3 linked regions of the Canis lupus familiaris genome follow. The protein of the gene in region 2 purifies or fractionates together with the protein of the main gene of each other region. This does not show direct contact. Links are inferred from orthologs where the notes say so. Each region holds a gene or a part of one and is shown on either strand. Other genes may lie near its edges.

Region 1 (7,978 bases), on a different chromosome or scaffold from region 2:
TCCACACAGCCCTAGATGAGGGCTATGGACCCTGCAGCAGGGGATCTGAGGTGGAGGTGGGCAAAGATCCAGGGTGGGTGAAGGATGGAGTAAGCCCCTAAACCCAGAGCTCACCCCCAAAGCCCCTCCAATGCATGGCAAGGGTAGAATGGGGCAGGTAAGGAGATTCAAAGATGGAGCAGCAGAATGAAAAATCAAGTTAGCAGACACAGGAGAAATGGAGTCATCGTGGTAGGGGATTAAAGAAGGAGAAAGTAGGTAAACGGGGCAATGAAAGGTCCTCCCTGAGACCCCCAGGGAGAGGTGGGGGCCAGCTTGCCTGTTAATTTAATATTAAACTGGGAGTGGGAGTTGGAAAGGAAAATGTTATTTCAGGGGATGATTCTTCAGCCTCTCAGCCTGTACCTGGAAGAGGAAGAGAGAAGAGCACAAGTCAAAACAAAGACAAAAGCCGGGAGTTGGGTTTAATCCCCTGTTCCAGCGAGAGCATTCTTCTTTCCACACCAGTGAAAACTTGTACCACTAAAGGCAACACCTCCCTGCAGAGGAAGGTGCACAGGTCGGCTCCTCCACCCCCTTCCGTGCTCTACACCTTACAAGTCTCCCCCTCGGTACTTACAGGAGAGGCTGAAGGCCTAGGGCCCTCACCAGTCATAGCGGCGGGACTGTCGGGAGGGGGAATCCTCGGGGCCCTGGATAGCCAGGCGGGGCGGCCCCTCAGCCCTTCGTCCCCCACCACCTGAAGCCTCATGCCTCCGAAATTCCAGGGGGCGCTGCTGCCGGAATCGGGATGTCTCCCTCCGCCATTCATCATCGAATGCTGCGGCTTCACCTGAGGAGCACAGAGACCAGGCGTGACACTTACTAAACGCACAGGCTGGCTTCTGGAATCAAGTGCCAAGAGTGAGCCATGGCCTTCTCAGGTGAAGAAACAGGGCAAAGGCTGAAAGTGTTATGTTGTGGGGGGGATATGTTGAGGGGGAGCAGCATAAAGAAAAATTTCTTTTCTCCCTAACTCAGGGTTCAATATGGTTCTGCTAGCTGAGAGCCCATAGCTATCCTAATATGGAAGCCACCAACAAGCCCAAGATAGGGCTACTGAAGAAGGATATCAGGAAGGGGATATTATTAAGTTAAGGAGCATAGTCCCATGTACACATTTATCAAGTATTTGATGAATATTTGTTGACTTGGAAAAAAAAGGGGGAGGAGAAAGGAAAGAACTGACCCTGCCAGCATCTGACTTAGCCCCTGAAGATGACAAGGCTCAAGCGAGGTAAGAAGTGGGCCCCCCCCAATAACTTTGCCAAGAAATATCTACAGAGGTAGGGAACAAAAGTTTTTATCTCCTAGCTCACAGGAACTGGACCAGTGGCTACTGGTCCAGAGGTCAGAAGGGTGATGTGCAGGAAGGAGGCTCACTCTCATCCAGGTTGATATAATCCTGCCGCTCCTCCTGGTCCCCCGTGCGGTGGTTTCGGGAGCGCTGGAGGATGTGGGCCCGGTCTCGGATGTGGTGCCCAATGGACATCTGCTCTAGCCCACTGTCTGAGTCCCGCACGGTCCTCCGAGTCTCCCGGATCTGGGATGGGGGAGAACACAGCCCTCAGCCACCCCTTCCGAAGCCCTGGCCACACCACACCAGGACAGCAAACCACCCCCAGCCCAGTCCTGAGAAAGGAAGGCAGGGCTGCTGCCTGCAGCCTTCAGTGCTGCCTTCTCTGGGAGGTGAGAAGCTGCCCAACTCACCCCGCCTGGTGCCGAACGCATCTCTGATGTCTCCTGGTAGACCTTGGGGGCGCCATCACCCGTATTGGAGTAGGAGATGACAGTGGAGGATGAAAAGGTCTGGCAATTGCCTCCTGCTGTCATATGTTCCTGAGGAGGAAAAGGTACCACAGGACTGAATGGTCCCTCTGGAGAAGGAATCCCACACCACACTTCAGCTGCCTGTTCTTGTCCCTTTCTCACAGCACGGGGGAGCCAAGAAAATGTCAGGACTCATCAGTAACCCCCAAATTCCTTGGAGCCCAACAATAAATAAGACGGAGCCTTAATTGCACACTTCATGAGACTGCTGCTGCTGCTTCATACTCAGGCATGAGAGCAGATAAGGGAACCCAGTGCTCTCCGGGCTCCATGACTTTATCTAGCTCCAGCCCTTCCTTCACCAGCACACTCTTCCCTGTTCCTGCCTCAAAGGACTCAAGGTGTTGCCAGCTATCACCGAGAACAAGAGTACAAAAGCATATGGGGTAAGAGCCTCACCATGTTCCCAATCATGTCATTCATCATTCCAAACATGTCCATGAAGCCACCCGACTGCAGCAAAGAGATGGAAAACAGAGTCAGGAAAGCACAGTCAGAACTCAGATTATCTTTAGGTACCCGCTAGACAGACACGTGGCTACACATTCCCTTTCTCTTCTTCACATGGAGCCACTGCTCTGTCTCTTCCTCAGCGCGACCAGAACAGGGGGTGTTCCCCTTCACATCTCCCTCCCTGCGCATGCTGCCTTCCTCCTCAGTCTCTACAGCTTCTCTGATCCAATCTGCTTTCTCCCAACTGTCCTATTTCCTCCTATCTTTAGGAAGCACACCCAAGTAAATAGATTCTAACCCACAAAAGGGTTGGGCATAAAACCATAAAAACAGCAACAGCAAACTTCTAAAAGCCATCTCGGTTGGCCCTTCGACTCCATCTCCATCCTCAGAACGACAAACTTTGCTAGGCAATTACATTTTCCTAATAGGTGTGGCTCTTAGAATGGAGGAATCAGTAAGTTAGCATCTTTAACCCACAGAACTCAGCACACAACAGACCCAGAGCTTTATGAACACTATAAAAAGATTTTAGGGTTACCCATAAGGCTGTTCCAGAGAGCCACATTTGGAAATAACATCTAAGGATATAGAGTGTGTCTGAGAATGGAAGGACACGAGGACATTAGGACTCACCATTCCCAGCATCCCAAAGGGGGAGACAGCCCCAGCCTACAGGAAAACATAAAGAACAAATTAAAGACCACGTCCTATGTCACTACAGTCCCAAACCAAGTGCATGGTCTCAGCTTTTTTTTTTTTCTTCCATCCTCCTCTCAAAAGGGGATCACAAAGCCCTTTTGCCAGACCCCTTCCCCAACTCCTAAAAATGATCATTCCACTTGCTAAGTTGGCTGAAGTGCAAGAGAAATCAAGGACTTTATTAGCCACCCTCCAGCATTTCCTTGGGTGTTGGGTATGTCTCGGCATCATTACCTGCATCCTACGGCTGGCAGGCCTGGCCCCGGGCATGTTGCCATCTGTGATGCTGAGGAAGGGGCTGTATCCAAAGCCACCTGACAACATTCGGTTCATATGCTGACGGTGAATAGCAAAGGGGTCCCTGTGGAAGTGAGTATACAGTGTAGATGGCAGAAGGGACAGTCAACACCTTCCTCCCCCACAAAAAAGAAAAGTCCAAGGGAGAAGGTGGCACAGATGCCTATTTCCTCCCCTAAGCTGGAGCTGAAGCAGAGTATCCAGCTAGTTCCAACCAATGCCAGCAATGGGAACCCAGATGTCTGTCTGAACTACTTAGAGACCCGAAGTGGAGTAGGATGAGCGCTCTAGAACAGGAGGGGGAGGGAATACTCACATCAGGAACATGGGATCCTCCGGCTCCACGTCCCTCATGAAGCGGAACATCCTGATTTTAGCTCCAGGGGGCTCCACACTGTAAAGATGTGGAGGCTCAGATACTCGGAGCCAGCCAGGCTTTTGCACACCCGGCTCAGTGTAGGGACTCTGAGAACACTGTCCCTTGCAAATGCTGTAACCGACCCCCACAAACTCCAGTGAGCCCCTTCTCCAGGCGGTGTTGGACACCACCCTCAAGGGAGATTAGGGCTCTTCAAACCTCTCGAGGAGGGCTGTGGAAAATTTTTCCCAGCCTCGCAGTTTTCTGCCTCCCCCACTCAGCCAGCCTCTCCCCGAAGCCCCGGCCAGAAGCACGCCCCCTTCCCCGACGCCACTGCTTCGGATGCGAATCTCGGGGGCCGGCCCTCGCCCCAGCAATGACCCCGGCCACCTCGCCCCCTCCTCACCCCAGCCGCAGCCGGGCCTCCCCCCGGCGGGCCTCACTATCCCCACCGCTGCCCCCGGCCCCCGGCCCCCGCCTCCCCGCCCGGCGAGCAGGAGCGGCAGGCCCGGCCCCCTCCCCTCCCCGCCTCCCAGGCTCCCAGACCCGCAGCTCCGCGGGCCCGCTCCTGCCGCCGGCTGCCCGCGCCGCTCGAGCCTCACCGGTCCCCGATCCGGGCTCAGCGGCCCATCCGGCCGGTCTCGCCTCTCTGTGCGCTGCAGGCTCGGGGGTTGCGGCCCGGGACGCGGGATTGGTCCGGGCTGGCTCTCCTCGGCCTCCCGCGCCGCCTCCTCCCACGGCTGCCACCTCCGTACCCCCCCACGGCCCGCGGAGCCCGAACCGCGGCCAGGCCCGGGCGGAAGTGACGTCACGGGGGGACGGCCCGCCCCGGGGCCGGGCCCGCGGAGCTCCGCCCACCGGCGAGCGAGGGGCTGGGGCTGGGGCCGGGGCCGCTCGGGCGGCGGGGTCCTCGGGTCTAGGGGAGGGGGCCTCATCCCCAGCTGGACTCGGGCCCTGTGGCCAGGAGGAGGCGCCCCGTGGGGGTGCGGGGAAGAGCGGGGCGCCCCGCCTCGTGAGGCTCGGGGCGGGACGGGGCGGTGCGGCACGTTCCCTGCGGGGAAGGAAGAGCCCGGGGGCAGGTGCCGGGGGGAGGGGCGGCTCCCCGCGGGCGACGACGTGGGGCGGATCCTGGGGGGAATATTAAGCAGATTTTCTCCGCCGGCGGCGTTCGGCCCGGGAGGGAGGCAGGGCAGCCGCCTCGCGGGGGAGGCGCCGCGGCCAGTCCTGTCGGGGGGAGGCGAGTTCCAAGCAGGGGCGGGGCCCTCGGGCTGACGTCGCAGGGGAGGTGACCGCTCGGCCCCTGTCTGGCTCCGGCTTCCAGAACTCGGCGGGCGGGAGAGAATGCGGGGTGGGCGGGCCGGCCGCCAGGTGGCGCTCCTCGGCCGGTCTGGAACGGCGGGGCTTCGGGAGCTGCCGTTGGCCCTGCTCCCGGACCCTCGGTTCCTCCGCGCGCAGGGTCGGCCTGGGCAAAGGTTGTCGTTCTGAAATCGTTTCGTGGAATGCCGGTTTCTCCCCTTGCTTTTCTCTCACTGCTGTGTTCCCAGGAGCTCCCAGTCCCGCTCTGATCTTTCCTGCCTCTAGTCAGGTAGGTGGGTCGAGGGTCTAAAGTTTGGGAGAAGGAAGGGGTGCAGAGCTCCGTTAACCAGGATCACCCAGGGGCGGAGCTGGAATCAGACCCAGAAGGCCAGGGCCAAAGACTGAAACTTTGACATACTAAATGTCTTGCATAAAATCTGGCCCAACTGGAGAGAAGGGCCCTCCCCCAGGGTGTCAGGAGAATTTGGACGGTCTACGATGGACTTTAAACCAGACTCATCCAAACTCTAGCTCTCCCTGGTTCTTTACTCTGGCTGCTAGCCATATTAGCGCTCTGTGGAGCCCAACAATGCCAAAGACTTGTTCCCAATACTTCCCTAGGGGTGAAGGAGGACGGGGGTCCCAGGTGACTCAGGAAAAGGTACCGGGAGCAGGGCTTCTCAGGTTTCTTGGGACGCGATCATTATTAGTGAGGGAAAAACAATAGTGGAGACAGAGGGGAACAGTGATAATTTGGAAGCTGCCGGGCTGGCAAAACCAAAGAAAGATAAAGACAGGATAAAAGAAAATTTGCTTTTCGTTGATATTTCTGGGGGAAGAGACTTAGTCAAGTCTTTTAAATTTTTTCTCCAGATCCTTTATCTCTGGACATTCCACTCTGCATCTGCCCCTTTTCCTTTTGCCTCTAAGGCAGTTGACATGTGATCAGGTTTTCTCTCAGAGTTCTGTGGCCCAGACTCAACTAAGTGTGATTCCTCACCTTCCAGCTTCTCCCTTCTCATTCCATTATGTCCAACCTTCACCAAATTGGGTAGGAGATAAAACTCAGCTTCTGGCCTCCTCCTTTTTTCTTTTTCCATTGCCTGGTGCTGTCTACCTACTGCTTTTAGGGACCTAGAAACCTTTATTTTATTTTTTTTAAGATTTTATTTATTATTTATTCATGATAGACATAGAGAGAGAGAGAGAGGCAGAGAGACAGGCAGAGGGAGAAGCAGGCTCCATGCAGGGAGCCCGATGCAGGACTCGATTCTGGGTCTCCAGGATCACGCCCTCGGCTGAAGGCAGCGCTAAATCACTGAGCCATCCCGGGGCTGCCCCCTAGAAGCCTTTCTTCTCTTCCTTGGAAAACCAAAGAATCAGATACCAGTCATATTTACCTTTGCCTGATTTTAAATCAGTGTATTACCTGTCCTAGGAGAATTTACAAATTACAGCTTAGCTTCGAACTAGAAGGGAAAGCTCCAAACCTGGGCTTTGTCTGAGGTTAAAAAGAAATTCTTGACTGGGTGGGGATGAAGAAGGAAGTGCAAGAGCTCATTTTCAGAGTCCCCAGAGACATAGCACAAAGTCAACCATCCACTCCAAAAATGGAAGGAATATAATTTTACGAGTAACCTTTATGTCCCTCACAACCAGAGTTTGTGTCTGTCTCCCTTTCTCTCTTGCCTTCCGTCCCTTCCATTTCCTGTCTCTCTCTCCCGTTCTTCCTTCTTTCCTTCCTTGTCCGGTGAACTCTGAAGAACAAAAATTTCTCAGTCACTGGAGTGTCCCGTATATGAGAAGATGTAGGATGGCAAGTGAGCCCTGCCAGGAGTGAGGTTTAACACAAGGAGGATAGGATTTGGGGAAGGAAGAGGAACAATGTGTTTCTTACGTGTTCACTGCTCTATCTGATGGAGCCAAAGTCAGAAAGTCCTTGTGAGAGTAGAGCTGGGCCAGAAGATGAACCCTCTTTTATTTTTTTTTTATAAATTTATTTTTTATTGGTGTTCAATTTGCCAACATATAGAATAACTCCCAGTGCTCATCCCATCAAGTGCCCCCCTCAGTGCCCGCCACCCAGTCACCCCCACCCCCCTGCCCACCTCCCCTTCCACCACTCCTAGTTCGTTTCCCAGAGTTAGGAGTCTTTCATGTTCTGTCTTCCTTTCTGATATTTCCACTCATTTTTTTCTCCTTTCCCCTTTATTCCCTTTCACTATTTTTTATATTCCCCAAATGAATGAGACCATATAATGTTTATCCTTCTCCGATTGACTTATTTCACTCAGCATAATACCCTCCAGTTCCATCCATGTCAAAGCAAATGGTGGGTATTTGTCGTTTCTAATGGCTGAGGAATATTCCATTGTATACGTAGACCACATCTTCTTTATTCATCTTTCGATGGACACTGAGGCTCCTTCCATAGTTTGGCTATTGTGGACATTGCTGCTATAAACATCGGGGTGCAGGTGAGATGAACCCTCTTTAGATGTGAGGTCACACATTTAGGGCATTCCCAGGATAGTTGGATATTGGAACGGCATGAAGAAGGGGCAAAATGATGTGTGAGTTAGGGGAGACTGGATTTCCTGCCTGAGCCAAAGTGAATGGGTGTGACTGAGTGTATGTGTGTATGTAAATGGGCATAGGTATAGGGGAAGAGAGGAAAAGCCTGAAAATTAGTGCTAAGGTACCCTTAGAGTGAGCTTTACTGCGGACACCAGGTAAGTAAGATTAAAAAGTGACTTGAAGGGCACCTGGGTGGCTCAGTGGTTGAGATGCTGCCTTCGGCTCAGGTCGTGATCCTGGGGTCCTGGGATCCAGTTCCACATCGAGCTCCCCGCAGGGACCCTGCTTCTCCCTCTGCCGATGTCTCTCTCTCTCTGTGTCTTTCATGAATAAATAAATAAAATCTTAAAAAAGTGACTTGAGGATTTTTAAAAATCAACTTTTCAGCTTGTTTTCATATCCATATCCACTCAACAAATATTTATT
Region 2 (6,924 bases):
TTCTGGTCAACAGGCCCGGGTGGCACCTCAGATGAACATGCACTGTACAGGGACATCAAGTGACTCCTGGCATTTCCCAAATCATCCAGAAACTTACTGACCACCTCGTCAATAATCCTGGTGGCATGCTTTAGGGATTCTTGCTGCTGGGGGTTTCTGATTGTTTCTACTGAAACTTCAACGGTGAGGGTTCGTCCCATCAAACGGTTTGCTGTCAGATTTAATTCTTCTCTTTCTCCTAAACATGGAAAGTTTGAAATATCAATCAATACGAGACATAAACTTACCTATATTGAAAACATTTAGGCATTCATTTGTGGCTAAAGTTATTTTCTGTAAGCACCTTGGCTACAAAATTTTTAAATGTAAAAGTCAAAATTATAGCACATAAGATTAACTAATAAACTATATTATATTACGGAGAGAGGTTGCAGAATACCTTTCCCTGAAAGTCTATTTTTTATTATTTCCTTTTTTTTATTATTTCATTTTTTGAGAGAGAGGGAGAGTGAGCACATATGTGTGCAGGTGGGAAAGGGGCAGAAGGAGAGGGAGACAGACCATCTCAAGCAGGCTTCACGTGTAGCGTATGAGCCTGATGTGGGGATTGATCTCACAACCGTGAGATCATGACCTGAGCCAAAATCAAGAGTTGGAGTGCTTAATGGACTGAGCCACCCAGGCACCATTATCTGACAACTTTTATTTATTTATTTTTAATTTTTTTACTTTTTAATTTTTTATTTATGATAGTCACAGAGAGAGAGAGAGAGGCAGAGACATAGGCAGAGGGAGAAGCAGGCTCCATGCACCGGGAGCCTGACGTGGGATTCGATCCCGGGTCTCCAGGATCGTGCCGTGGGCCAAAGGCAGGCGCCAAACCACTGCGCCACCCAGGGATCCCCTCTGACAACTTTTATACATGGGATACCAGATGACTTTTCCAAGTGGGCACGTTTGAAAAAGTGTGGGCAGGTATGCATTTCTAACTCGGATGGAGATCAAGTCTTAACCTAGAGCAAATGGCGTGCATAACCAGGGTTTTGTGCTGGTTACAAGAGATCAGATGCAGTGGATCTCTTGATAAGGATGTGCATGTAGGGGAGGAAAAATAATTTTCCCTGTACCTTTCTGAGTTCTTGGCTGAGAAACCCTGTAATAAAAGACAGATTAACAAGAAAAAAAGCAGAAGCTTATTAACATGTATACTTCACATATACATAGCAGAATTTTAGGGACACTGAGATGGCCTCCCTCTCAGATGGAGAGCCCAAGCCACCACCTTAAAAACCATCTTCAGCTGAGGAGTAAGATGTTGAGGGAGGCCTTCCCCTCTTTAGTGAGGTTACCAGTAAAAGCAGGATAAACCAGGGAAGGGTTGCTTTGCCTTTGGCGTATATAAGGGTTTCTTGTGATTCACAGTTATCCTTCCTGGTACACGGAGGCAGGCACCCTTACAAATGGAAATATCCCTTATAAATGTAAACATCCCTTACAAACAAGTAACTTCTATTCTGTTTTCAGAGCTTCTCCTGTGTCTGCAGTTTCTCAAAAATAATCAGCTTGAAATAATTCTTATGCCAAAGAGGCAAAATTTGAGATGGTATATTTTGCATGGATATCAGAATACAATGCTCCAATTTTGGCTGAAAAAAACATAACCATGATGGTGGAGAAAAAGCTGGCCTCGAAATTCGGCAGTGACTCATCCTTTCCAGGGAAATTTAAGCAGGCCAGTGGTTTCTAAGTCTTGGCCAGCACAGAGAGGCAATGGTGGGAAAAAGGATCCACATTTCATTATTTACATGAAAAAGTCAGTAATCTCCTCTTTGTCCTGTTCTGTAACTCCCTTTTTTTTTTTTTTTTTTTTTTCCCTGTAACCCCCTTCTTAATTCATCAATCTTTGGCCAGGATGATGAAAAGACCGGCCAGATCTTGATCCTGCCATGTGTGTCTAACCGTGCAGGGCCTGGAGTTAGACTGTACACTCATGGCACCAGCTGTTGGACCATGAGCTTGTCTAGGGAGGCCCCGGAGCAACCAAATTAGAAAGATCACCGCCAGTGAAAGGAAATACAAGTGCCCTATTCCTCCACGGAAACTCATGCTTTTCATATAGAAATGATAGCACATTTTTACATTAATGGGGTTTTATTGGGTCCATTATTTCTTTCCCCTGGATTTTATCTCAATACCTCAACCCCTCTCGTTTGTCCTCTCTGCCATCCAGTAACTTCTGAGGAATTGAAGTCAGGACTGTAAACCTGAGGTCAAAGGCATCACCTTACTGCTTGGGACCACCTCTTCTGGAGCTTGGAGGCCTTTTTTTTTTTTTTTTTTTTTTTTTTTTAACATTTCTAACCATGCCCCTGAGGTAGGCAGCAGGCCAGAAGGGTGACCTCTGGGTAAATGGTTCTTTTTTTTTTTTTTTTTTTTTTTTTTGTAAATGGTTCTTGTAATAATAAATTGACAGCTGTTGTCCGCTACTCATGGGAAATGCTGAAGCCAAGTGTACTCATTCCTCAAGTCAAGTGAAAATGGACCCACACTTATCCTAAATCCCATGAAAGAGTGGAAAAGATGAGCTCCCTTCTGTGGAAATGCTCTCACCATCGCTGATCTGCCTCATATCCTGGCTATTCTGGATGCTGTGGATCATTTCCAGGAGGATTTCTTTCTCTTGCTCAACAGCAGTTGCGGCTTCTCTCAAGGCTTCCACCCTATATAAATTGGGAAAACAAAAGTTACCACAGGGAAGTTTCCTTTTCCTCATCTCTATTATTTGCTCCATCTCAAGTTTAAAGATCCTTAGGAACACTTTTGAAAAGTTCTTTATTCTTTTTTAAAAACTTTAAAATTTTTCGGGCAACCCTCTTGGGGCCCTCCCTCTTCGGGAGCTTTGTACCATCACTTTACTATCGCTCAATAAACTCTGCTTTGCTGCCTGTCAAAAAAATATATATTTAAAAATTTTTTCTATTGTTTTAAATCCACCCACCCCAGTCTCCTTTTCCTCCTCGCGTGTATGGCATTCTATTTAGTGTTTATCTATTTTGTATTCGTTCATAACAAAATCTGTATTTGTGTTTTCATCTATTTTCAATTTATATTTCACTGTTTCTTTTTTCACTCAGCATTTTATTAAGAACCATCCAGATTCCTATGTGAATATCTAATCAGTAGCTTCTGATTGCTGCATGATACTCCATGTATATTCACCTGATTTCACCTCCTCTCTCCCAGTGAAAATGCTTACCATGTCCCCTTACTTGTCATCAGCACAAAAAAGCACTTCAATGAATACAGGTCCCCTATGGACTTGAATGAGAACCTTCTTAGGATTTATCTCAGGGCAGAACTGCTGAGACACAGGGTATGTGCACCCACCATTTAATTCGGTACTACCACTGTTCTCCAGAATGGCCACACTAGACCACTGTTGGGAAGCAAGTATTCTTGTCCCCTCAAAGGTTCTTCTAACTGGACTAAGAATCAAATTGACATGAGACAATTTACAGGAGAAAATCCAATTTAATAGTGTACATAGGGGAATCCACATACACATGGAAATTCCAAAGACAATTAGGCAAAATGAGGTATACCTATTATTCTGAAAGAAGGAGAAGGGGGTTAATGGTCTGGGACTTCAAAGAAAAGGAACGCAGGGTGATAAGAAGAGCAGATGTTTGGTAATTAGATGTTTGCCCTGCCATACAGATGGGCCACTCAGATAAAATTTATCTCTGCTTATAACCTTTATTCTGGGAAAGACCCCTAATTTAGATTCTTCTGTGTGGTTAAGGGAGGGGCAGAAGTTTCTCCTGAGCCTGCAGGCTCTCAAGTGCCTTCAGCTCAAAAGAACCCACATGCCAAAGTGGCACATTCTGGGGGGCCCTGTCCTGAACCCCTTCACAATATTCCCAGCAGTAAAGCATTGGAATCCCTGTGTTCCCACACCCCTACCAACACTCAGCATCTTCCAATTTCCTATTTGTTGCCAGTCTACTAAGTATACAGTGATATATTCATAATTAATCTGCATGTCTTTCATTACTAATAATTTTGGACATCTCTTTGTATTCTTGTTAGCCTGTTCACAGCCTTTGCCTATTTTGTTTTTTCTTTTTTAAATGGGGGTTACTGTCCTCTTGCTGATTTGCATACTCAAAGAATTAGTCCCATGTTAGTTACAGACATTGTAATAATCTTCTTCGATCCTATCATCGATGAATTTTGCCTGGGATATTCTTCACTGAATAGATATCCTTACTTTGAAGTGATCAAATTAATATTTTCTTGGTTTTGTTTGCCTTGTGGCTTATGCTTCTGAAGGGTCTTTACATCTGAGGTCATAAGGTATTTTCCTACATTTCTTTCTATTAACTTCATTGTTTTACTTTTCTCATATTTATGGCTTAGTCCATCTAGAATCCACCTATATGTGTTTAGGTAAGGATTTTTTGTTTTATTTTTCTCCAAATAGTGAACCATTTCCAACATTATATCCACCAAAAATCCATCTTTCCTCTGACTTATACATTGTCTACTCTGAAATCTCTGTTCCATCTAGTAGTGTATCTAACTGTTCTTACACCAATATCCATTTTAAAAAAATACCAATAGCCTTGTAATATGCCTTAATATTTGGTAGAACCAGCCCTCTAATCTTCTTTAAAGATAGTTATTTAGAGTTTTAGTATTCCATATTAACTTTCGAGTAAGTTTCTTAGGTTTCTCAAAGAACTGGGGTAAATATGGCGTCTTTAGCATATTGTCATTTCGGGATGCCTGGGTGGCTCAGTGGTTGGGCATCTGCCTTTGGCTCAGGGTGTGATCTTGAGGCCCTGGGATCCAGACCCACATCGGGCTCCCTGCATGGAGCCTGCTTCTCCCTCTGCCTGTGTCTCCTCTCTCTCTGTGTCTCTCATGAATAAATAAATAGAATCTTTACAAAAAAGATAGAATATTGTCATTTCACCCATCTATATATTCAGATCATCTTCCATATTCTTTATTAGAATTTTGAAGTAGTCTTTTTTTTTTTAAGATTTTATGTATTTATTTTGAGAGAGACAGAGAGGCAGCACACAAGCAAGGGGGGAGCAAGAAAGGGAGAAGCAGACTCCCCCCTGAGCATGGAGCCTGACATGGGGTTCCATTTCAGGACCCTGGGATCATGACTTGAGCTGGGCAGATGCTTAACTGACTGAGCCACTCAGGTGCCCTGAAGTTTTCTTAATAGTCTTTGTGGACGCTTTTGAGAGCTTTGATCCTTTGTGGATACTGTTATTGTAAATAATACATTTTATTTATTATAATTATCTTTAATGTTTTTATTTTTTTAAAGTTTTTTGAAAAGTAATCTCTACACCCAATGTGGGACTCAAGCTCATGACTCCAAGATCAAAAGTTGCATGCTCTTCAGACTGAGCAAACCAGCTGCCCTATTTTAAATTATAATTTCTCACTTGTTATTGCTGGTTAGGAAAACAGAAAATGCTGTTTTTTGTAAGGTTCATCTTGTAATTGGTAACAGATTTATTAATTTTAATTTGTCTTTTTAAAAATATTTTATTTATTTATTCAGGGAAGACAGAGAGAGAGAGAGAGAGAGAGAGAGAGAGAGAGAGGCAGAGACACAGGCAGAGGGAGAAGCAGGCTCCATGCAGGGAGCCTGACGTGGGACTTGATCCCGGGTCTCCAGGATCAGGCCCTGGGCTGAAGGCAGCGCTAAATTGCTGAGCCACCCGGGCTGTCCAATGATTTGTCTTTTGATTCTTCTAGATTGATGATCATATAATCTACACAAAATGACAGATTTAATCTCTTCCTTTTAAATCTTACTAGCTTATATCTCTTTATAGTATTGACTAAAGTCCTCTGTTACTTTATTACACAGTGGTGATGAGAGAGGGCGTCTTTGTCTTTTCCTGAATTTAAAGGAAATGCCTGTGTAGGTTTTTGGTCTAAAGCCCGTATCAAACTACAGAAGCACTACTTTCCCTAACTCCCTCAAGTATAAACACACATGAACTTAACTACACATACACATGAACACAGTCACTAAAGAACAAAATTGTGGAATCATGAAAGCAAGAGAAAGGAAAATCCTGTATATTTAAAGTGCTTTGTTTTCAGGGCACTTCTTGTTATATGTTATCCCATAAATAAGTTGCCAACTTTTCCTAAATGAACACTGACAGACTTACCCTTAGTATTCAGATAGCCTTAGAAATATGAGATCATGGAAGATCTAATCCTGATTGCTGCCATAAGTGGGCACAGAAGGAACAACTTCACTAATGTTTGAGCACATGTCCATTCCATTTAAGCCCTCCCCTACCCACCCCAACCCCACATTTGCCTTTTCCCCAACAGCCATCCACCTGTTATACCCCAAAATAGCACTGATAGGTCACAAAGTCACAGGTTCTCTTTGTTCATCAAGATACTAAATATATGCTGAACTTTGTATTTATAAGAGCTGGGAAAACCAAAGAGCTGGTAAGAATCTTATGTGACAAATGTGGCTGGAAAATACAATAAAAAACAATATTCTATAAAATAGAATACAACAGCAGGCCCACTTCAGTATCATTATGTACACATTTTATGTTGGCAAACTCTCAGACAGATAAACTAGGGCCCAGTATATTTGAGAGAGATTGAGTTGGCGCTAATATGAAATATTCATGCTAAAAACACAAACCATGACTCCAGTGTTTAAATGACAAAGATGAATCATGTAATTGGTAAATGAGAAGATGCTGAAAGAAGAAATGAATTTTTCAAGACTCTTGAATTTGTACTCAAATGTACAATGATAGAGAATTTAATGCTATTCAAAAAAGGAAGGCTTCATTTACAACATGTTACAAGAGTTAAATTCAGGGGGTTGTTAACAAGAAAATGGTTTAAAAGGAC
Region 3 (7,849 bases), on a different chromosome or scaffold from region 2:
AGTGAGCTACATAGGGTATATTTAATTTTCTTCCCTACTATCTTTTCTTTTTTTTTTTTCCTTTTTTCTTTGTTAAGCCTACCTGAGGAAGAATGATAATTTAGGAATCAAATTGCCTCCCAGTAACATAGAGTTTACACCCCATGTATGTTTACCATTACATAATGTTTTTTCTAAGTTTCGGGATGACTGGGTAGTTCAGCAGTTGAGCATCTGCTTTGGGCTCAGGGTGTGATCCCAAGATCCAGGATCGAGTTCCGCATCGGGCTTCTTGCGGAAGCCTGCTTCTCCCTCTGCCTGTGTCTCTCATGAATAAATTAACAAAATCTTTAAAAATATATATATATTTTTCTAAGTTTCACATAGCTAGTGAGTGGCAACTAATAGGCCCTATGACATTTTGTTGATTTGATATGCTGTGATAGGTTTGTTACTCCTCATTTATCAGGTGTTTCAATTTACTTCCACTATTGCAAACATGTTGACTCAGTGCTTAGACATGGGCCCCACAGCAGCTGGAATTACTTTTAGCTATAAAAAGTATATCATATTTTTTATATCATGTCATTTGACCTATATATTATCTGACCTACATCAGATAAATGAGTATCTCCACAACTGGAATAGTAGTGAAGCCTTTGAGTTTTTCCCTCTTAAATTGTTTAGGGACCCTGAGCATGATATATTTCACTGCTTTAAGCATGAGGGTAATTATGGTCAGCTATGACACAAGAAACTTGTTTATGCTCAGAACATACACACGCTCAGAACAAATGAGGGTACACAGAATTTAAGAACATTGCAATTTACTTATATTTGTTAATTACAACACTCAACAATCAGGTATCTCCTTTTCCTTCCTAGTTTAAAAAAAAAAAAAAGGTCTCTATCAATTTAAGTTCGTTTTCCTAACAGAAACAAGATCTAATATATATTGAACAAATGCCATTTGCCAAACATTGTTTTATATGCTTTAAATGCATACTACATTACTTAATGCCTCTTGTATCTTGCAGTCATACTGAGAAAGAAAAGTAACAAACACTAGTGGGCTTCAAATTAAGAAATATATTAATTTTCTTAACACAGTCTTAAAGACACCTATGGATTAATATTCCATATCTTGCTACAATAGTATAGTAGCAACTCTGATAAGAACACTTTTTATTCACATGGCACCTATGAATAAATGTTATGTAAACTATAATGTACATAGCATTTTCAAATTTCATTTATCACTTGTGAAGAAGGAATTATTATTCTATAAAGTGTAAAGAGAGATTCAGAGATGAAACTTCACAGATGATAAGTGGCACAGATGGAAGTAGAATTCAGGTGTTCTGAGCCAATTGTATTCCTTCTATTGTGGGGAATGGAAATGCAAGAAAGTTTACACCTCCAGAAGGTTTGAAAAGTACAGACATGGACTCTGCTGGGCATGTGCTACTGCTCACAGAGAAAATATCTCCAGACAAGAATGAGCTCCAATCTTTGTATTAAACAGTATTTCAGTTTTAAGAGCTTGAATCTTCACTGGTGAAGCACTTAGGGGAGGATCACAGGATTTAATAAAAATTGCTGATTTGACTGGAAAGAATAATGTGTACTATTCTTTAATTACTGGACTTGAAATCCCTTCTCATAGCACCTTAAACTGTTTATGCTTCCAAATATATAGTTATTATATGCTTATAAGCAATAAAGAATATTAGGAAATATATTAGGAATACAGTAAATATAGACTATTTTGTATCTTCTTAAGTAAACCATAAATGTGTAAAAAGTAGGGACAGTCTTTGAGCACATCATTCATACTAGGCAGCCAATAGCTTGGCAAATATGCAAATATACTAGAAACTGAAAGTTAAGTACAAAAGCCCAAAAACTTTATGAACACAAACATTTTTTTTAAAAAAACCCAAACCCCCAAAACCCTATAGCTTTCTTTTATCAAATGCACACATATTAACTATTGAGAGGCACTGATCTTAAGAATTTATTTCAAACTCTTAATTTCCTTGGAAATTACTACTCCTTTACATCATCCTGTCATCATCTGATAAGGAAGCACACACACTGGCATCCAAGGAAATCCAACAACATCATCTTCCAGAAATTTCAACAGAATGTTAATGCAGGCATATTAAAAAGATTTTGCTCTTGGTAATTATTTATAAGTCAAGGGTAAGAAGAAAATAGATACACTTAATAGTATCATTAAAACTCACTGAGCAAAGGAAAATCTAGGGAGGATAAAGTTTAAAAGGAATGCCGAATTACTGGCACACATATATTTGGAAAACTATTTAATTTTTCACTGATAGGTCAGCCTTTGCATTCTCCATCTTCATTTTAAAAGAAATTAAACTGTACTCCAACAGCATAATTCTTCAACAACTCCCATAATTTTCTGAAGAGTTTAAACTTTTCCTGATGTGGTCAACCTTACAGTAAAGATAAGCTGAAATATTCTAATAGTAAGAGCTTGCTCAAAAATGACCTCAACTGGATGGAGATATTATCAGTTTTAGTGCTGAAGTTTCCAAAAATAACAAACAAACAAACATGGTCGTAACACATAACTGAAATAGTTTAGCAGATAAGGTCAATCATTTCCAAGGCAATCACATAAAACTTTAAGAGTTCTTTTTTTGTATTTAACAGTGCTACCATCAATATAAAAGATTTTTAAGTTTAAATAAGTCCCACATGAGGTTTAAAAAAAAAATGAATCAAACATAAGCTTCTATTTTATCATCTGAACACATTCAAGATTTGTATCAAAAAAAAAGATTTGTATCTCTTGCTTTCATCTTCAAATTGTGTAGTTTTATGACACAAGCAAATGAAAATTCTAACCAATTTAAAGCTCTCAATACAATTCTGCTCTAAATAGTTCTAATAATATTTATTTTTATGAGAATATAATAATTCTATTTTCTAATTCTCAACTTTCTCATGAGGAAATTATTTGATTATATCTCCTCTAAATCTCATTTAACTTGCAAAAGTATATCAGTGGAGATAAGGGTTAAAAAACAAAATGAAACAAAATGATACAAAACACTTTTACATAGGCTCCAAAGTAGAATTCAAGAATATAACATAAAGGGGAAAAATTCCTTAATTTAAACAATGTATTCTTTACTATTATTTACTATCATTCATTGAAAAAGGATTTCTGAAGCAGTGTTTATCACTTTAAAAACTGTACAAAGTGGGATCCCTGGGTGGCGCAGCGGTTTAGCGCCTGCCTTTGGCCCAGGGCACGATCCTGGAGACCCGGGATCGAATCCCACATCAGGCTCCCGGCGCATGGAGCCTGCTTCTCCCTCTGCCTGTGTCTCTGCCTCTCTCTCCTCTCTCTCTCTCTCTCTGTGACTATCATTAAAAAAAAATAAAAATTTAAAAAAATAAAAAATAAAAAAATAAAAACTGTACAAATTCATTTTATAATGATCAAATAGAATGGTTTATCTTATTATAAAACAGAAATAATTAAAATTCCAATAGTAACTAAAATTGAGCCATCCCTTCTTTATCCCCTTATTCATCACAATATACCTTCTCTTACTGGCTCATTGGTTGATTCTCCTTTCAGACTCAGCATCCTGGAGAAGCCATTGGAAAGAGTAGAGAAAATGCCACGGATGAAATATCCCTGCTGTTCAGACTCCTCTGACCTTCCTGTAGTCGGCCATGATCTAACAAATCTGATACTGCAGCGAGGTTCTGGCTCTGAAATAGATCTGGTGAATGGAACCCGAAGTGACCGGGTGTTGACCAGGTTCAGCTTCTCTGTTGGTGCTCCAAGGACCTCAATAGCAGAGGAAGAAGCATTACTACCAACCATCTCTGGCAGGACCTTTTGTTGCCGTTCATCCAAGTCTCTTTTATTAGTCTGTAACCTCTCCCTTTTGCCCCCTTTCCACCTACAGCTGGGATGTGTTTGCCACCGATAAGCACCCAGTGGCTTTCCTAGACTGGAAACAGCATGTTCATTTTTCTTCCTCTTGATTTTCACTGGACCACGCCATGGATAACTCTTTAAGCTTATTCCTATCTCTGATTTTGCATAAGCAGGTTCTGACAAAGATCTTCGATAGCTTGGAGGACAAGGTGATGTCTGTCTCTTAAAGATGCTCATCTTCCACGACTCCATTTTTTAACAACTTCTCTTAACTTTAAGTTTCCTCTACTCTGCAGTCTTTGCAGTTGAACCACACTTGTCCGTGCAGTCCAAAATATTCAACTGCTTAAGCAGCTTTCTTTGTGTGGCTTTGAACCACAGCAGATGTTGCTGCTTAAGAGCTGGTGTCATGTTATTACCCCATTTTCCCAGATCTCCGAAATTTTAGCAGCACCCAAAACTCTCTTGCCTGCAGCAAAGAATCTTCAGAGTGCAACAAAAGCAAAGATTTCCAGAAGATCATCTCGCTTCCTGCTGTAGGTTACATTTCTGTGCTAAGTTTTCAGGAAATGATTTTAAAGAAAATAAGAAGTGAAATAAAAACGGCAAAAAAAACCCACAAACACCTTTGTAGACCAATAGCAGTTAAGTGTTCACCATGCAAATGATAGTGGGTTAAAAACAGATTGTGAAAGTAGTCAGGCTGACATCCACATTTTACGGAAGAAGAAAGAAAACTTGCCTAAGCCTGCCCTTGAAGTGACAACTCTTCAGAATAGTTTCTAAAAATATGTAGTTTAGAAATTTAATTTCAAGAAAATCATTGCTATTTACACCACCACTTCACTCAAAATTAATACTGTTTTTCAACCAATAGGTAAAGTCATACACTGTTTTACTCAAGCAGACAGTGCAAGGACAAGTCAAGATGGCCAAAAAAATGCCAAAATTTAAAGCCATCTTAAATGTAGATAAATATAGTAGGGAGAATTTTAAAAGCATAAATGGACAGAAAAGAAAACGGGGACAGAGGATATTTACTATGAACTGCAGCAAAGGAAAAGCAAAGTCTTGAGGCAATATCTTGTGGGAACCAGAACACAGGAACATATATACTAAATGACTTCTAAAAGGGAAAGTTTCCTTTGTAAATCTAATTGGGATAAGCTGTCTGGAAATACATTCCCTATCTGTTTAAACAAAGAAATTCCTTGCCTCTTCTTTGTGCTGCTTACAATTTAAAAAAAAAAAAAAAAGAGCTGACTATTTAAAATCTTCTTAAAGCAAAGTACCTTATAGTGAAACAAGATCATGAATGCCAAGTTGCCAGCTGGTTAATTTTTTTCTTCAAATGTCTGCTCATAAAACCCTAAAAACAGGGGTTTCAAATGGAAAGCCTGACAGACTTTAGGCCACCAATAAAAGAGATACAACATGATAATCAAATCACTTTACAAGTTTTAGAAAAAATAATTTCATCTGGAAAAGTAAAAACATAGTTGTAGAACACGTACAATGAAAAACCATTCTCACAGTCTCGTTACTACTATAGAAATAGGAAATTTATAGTACCTTATCTATTCTTTTAAACATATTAAAGTGTTTTAGTTATTTCCATTATCATAAGGAAATAATCCCATTTTTGTTTGTTTTTATAGGCTCCAAATTTATACATGTCTATATTAAAGAAATGCTGAAGTATTTGGCTTTCCCAAAAGCAATACACATCAAAGTAGAGTGTCTTACAATCACAAAATTTTCTCTTTAAAAAAAGCAAAAAGAAAAAAACCCCAGAAATCTGACTCTGCACAGACAAAAACAATAAACATTAAGTTCTAATCTCTATTAATGGCACATCGCACCATCTACAAAATTTATCTGTGATGAAAATAAACCTAAATGTAAAATATAAAACTATAATGCTTAGAAAATAAACCATAGACTATGTTTGTGAACTGAGGGTAGAAGATTTCTTAGAATACAAAAATGCAATAACCATGATAGGAAAATATAAACAAATAAAACTGCACAGGGCGGGGGGTGGGAGTGAATGGGTGACGGGCACTGGGGGTTATTCTGTATGTTAGTAAATTGAACACCAATAAAAAATAAATTAAAAATAAATAAATAAATAAATAAATAAATAAATAAATAAATAAATAAATAAAACTGCACAAAAACCAAAAGTGTCTGTTCAGTAGAAGACATTATAAAATCAATAAGTCACAAAATGGGAGAAAATATTCACAATTCAATTATCTTCTGCTTTGTACTACAATATATAAAGAACTACAATTAGTAAAAAGAAAAAAAGAAAGAAACCTAATATTTAAAAAATAGGCAAAAAAAGTTGGACAAACCCTTCACAAAGAAATCTATATGAATGGTCAATAAGCATATGAAAAAATAATCAACCTCATTAGTAATTAGAGAAATACAAGTTAAATGTATAATGAAATATCAATCACATCCAATAGCATGGCTAACATTTAAAGACCTAACAAACAGTACAGGTGTTGGTGAGGAAGTGGAGCAACCAGAAAACTCATAATTGGTAATGGGAACATAAAATGGTTCAACTACTATGAAACAAATTTAACATTTTCCTTATAAACTGACATCTTAGGGACACCTTGGTGGCTCAGCGGTTGAGCATCTGCCTTCAGCTCAAGGCGTGATCCCAGTGTCCTGGGATCGAGTCCCACATCAGGCTCACTGCATGGAGCCTGCTTCTCCCTCTGCCTGTGTCTCTGCCTTTCTCTCTCTCTCTCTCTCTCTCTCTCTCTCTCTCTTTCTGTGTCTCTCATGAATAAATAAAATAAAATCTTAAAAAAAAAAAAACAAAAAAACCTACATCTACCCAAGACCCTGCAGTTCCACTTCACTCACAGGCATATTTACTCAAGAGAAATTAAAATACACATACTTATACTTCAATGTTCACAGCAGCTTTATTTAGAACAGACAAAAACTGGAAACAACCCAAATGCCCATCACAGTAGAATGAATAAACTAAATTGTGGTATTTTCATACAATGATGTACTACTCAGCCAGAAAAAGAATGAACTATTAACAACAACAACTAAAAAAAAAATGTGTATGAATATCCCAGATACTATGCCAACAAAAGGAACTGGACATAGAAGAGTACATACTGTATGATTCCATTTCTACAGAATTTTAAAACCAGATAAACTAATCTATGATGGGGAAAAATTTCAGAAAAACAGTTGTCAGTGGTAGAGGACGCTATTAACAGGAAAGAGGCACCAGGAAGCTTTCTGGGGTGATGAAAACTTTCTAAGTCTTGATAGAGATAGGAATATGGGTTTATGTATTTATAAAAAGCTATCCACGTACTTAAGATTTATGCATTTTGAGGGGCACCATGGTAGCTCAGTTAGGCAACTGACTTGATTTTGGCTCAGGTCAGGATCTCAGAATTGTGAGATCTTGCCCAGTACTGGCTCAGCACGGAGTGGGCTTGAGATTCTCTCCCTTCCTCTGCCTCTGCCCCTCCTCCTGCTTCTGTGCATACATGAGCTCACTCTCTCAAAATAAACTCGTAAAAAAAAAAAAAAAAAAAAAGATTTATGCATTTTCCCATAATTAAATTTTACCTTAAAAAATCGTAAGCAATACTGAACTTTTAGTTAGTAGTTTGCTTAGCCAGTGTTACAGGTTGGTGATTCTGAAACTACTTTCTGTGTATTTTATGCGTGAGGAAAGGATAAAAAACACATGGAAGAGAATAAATGGATGGATGAATGAATGAATACATACATACATACATATATACTAATACTGGAACTAACTTTATGTACCTCCTAATATTGAACTGTGAAAGATACATACTTGTGTATTATTCTAAAAATACATAACCTAAATCTAATCTAATCACAAGAAATATCAGAAAACCTCAAATCACAGATCTATAA

The links.
Region 1: the proteins of BAG2 (region 2) and MLF2 purify together in Homo sapiens (affinity purification with mass spectrometry; 4 studies listed by BioGRID and IntAct, with this or other methods). This does not show direct contact. The link is inferred for Canis lupus familiaris from reciprocal best matches to the Homo sapiens genes BAG2 and MLF2.
Region 3: the proteins of BAG2 (region 2) and RASAL2 purify together in Homo sapiens (affinity purification with mass spectrometry; 3 studies listed by BioGRID and IntAct, with this or other methods). This does not show direct contact. The link is inferred for Canis lupus familiaris from reciprocal best matches to the Homo sapiens genes BAG2 and RASAL2.

Annotation. Positions count from the first base shown.
Region 1 is NC_049248.1:7,806,927-7,814,904, forward strand, and holds the start of MLF2 (myeloid leukemia factor 2), read right to left. Parts: upstream 4,487-7,978; 5' UTR 4,282-4,486; intron 3,716-4,281; 5' UTR 3,688-3,715; coding exon 3,638-3,687; intron 3,386-3,637; coding exon 3,259-3,385; intron 3,049-3,258; exon of another isoform or gene 2,995-3,048; coding exon 2,959-2,994; exon of another isoform or gene 2,323-2,958; coding exon 2,269-2,322; exon of another isoform or gene 1,879-2,268; coding exon 1,750-1,878; exon of another isoform or gene 1,583-1,749; coding exon 1,423-1,582; exon of another isoform or gene 1,021-1,422; intron 924-1,020; exon of another isoform or gene 833-923; coding exon 645-832; 3' UTR 620-644; exon of another isoform or gene 406-619; 3' UTR 1-405.
Region 2 is NC_049233.1:24,630,552-24,637,475, reverse strand, and holds part of BAG2 (BAG family molecular chaperone regulator 2), read right to left. Parts: intron 2,721-6,924; coding exon 2,611-2,720; intron 239-2,610; coding exon 1-238. UniProt on the Homo sapiens protein: Co-chaperone for HSP70 and HSC70 chaperone proteins. Acts as a nucleotide-exchange factor (NEF) promoting the release of ADP from the HSP70 and HSC70 proteins thereby triggering client/substrate protein release.
Region 3 is NC_049228.1:21,362,746-21,370,594, forward strand, and holds the start of RASAL2 (ras GTPase-activating protein nGAP), read right to left. Parts: upstream 4,487-7,849; 5' UTR 4,163-4,486; coding exon 3,565-4,162; intron 1-3,564. UniProt on the Homo sapiens protein: Inhibitory regulator of the Ras-cyclic AMP pathway.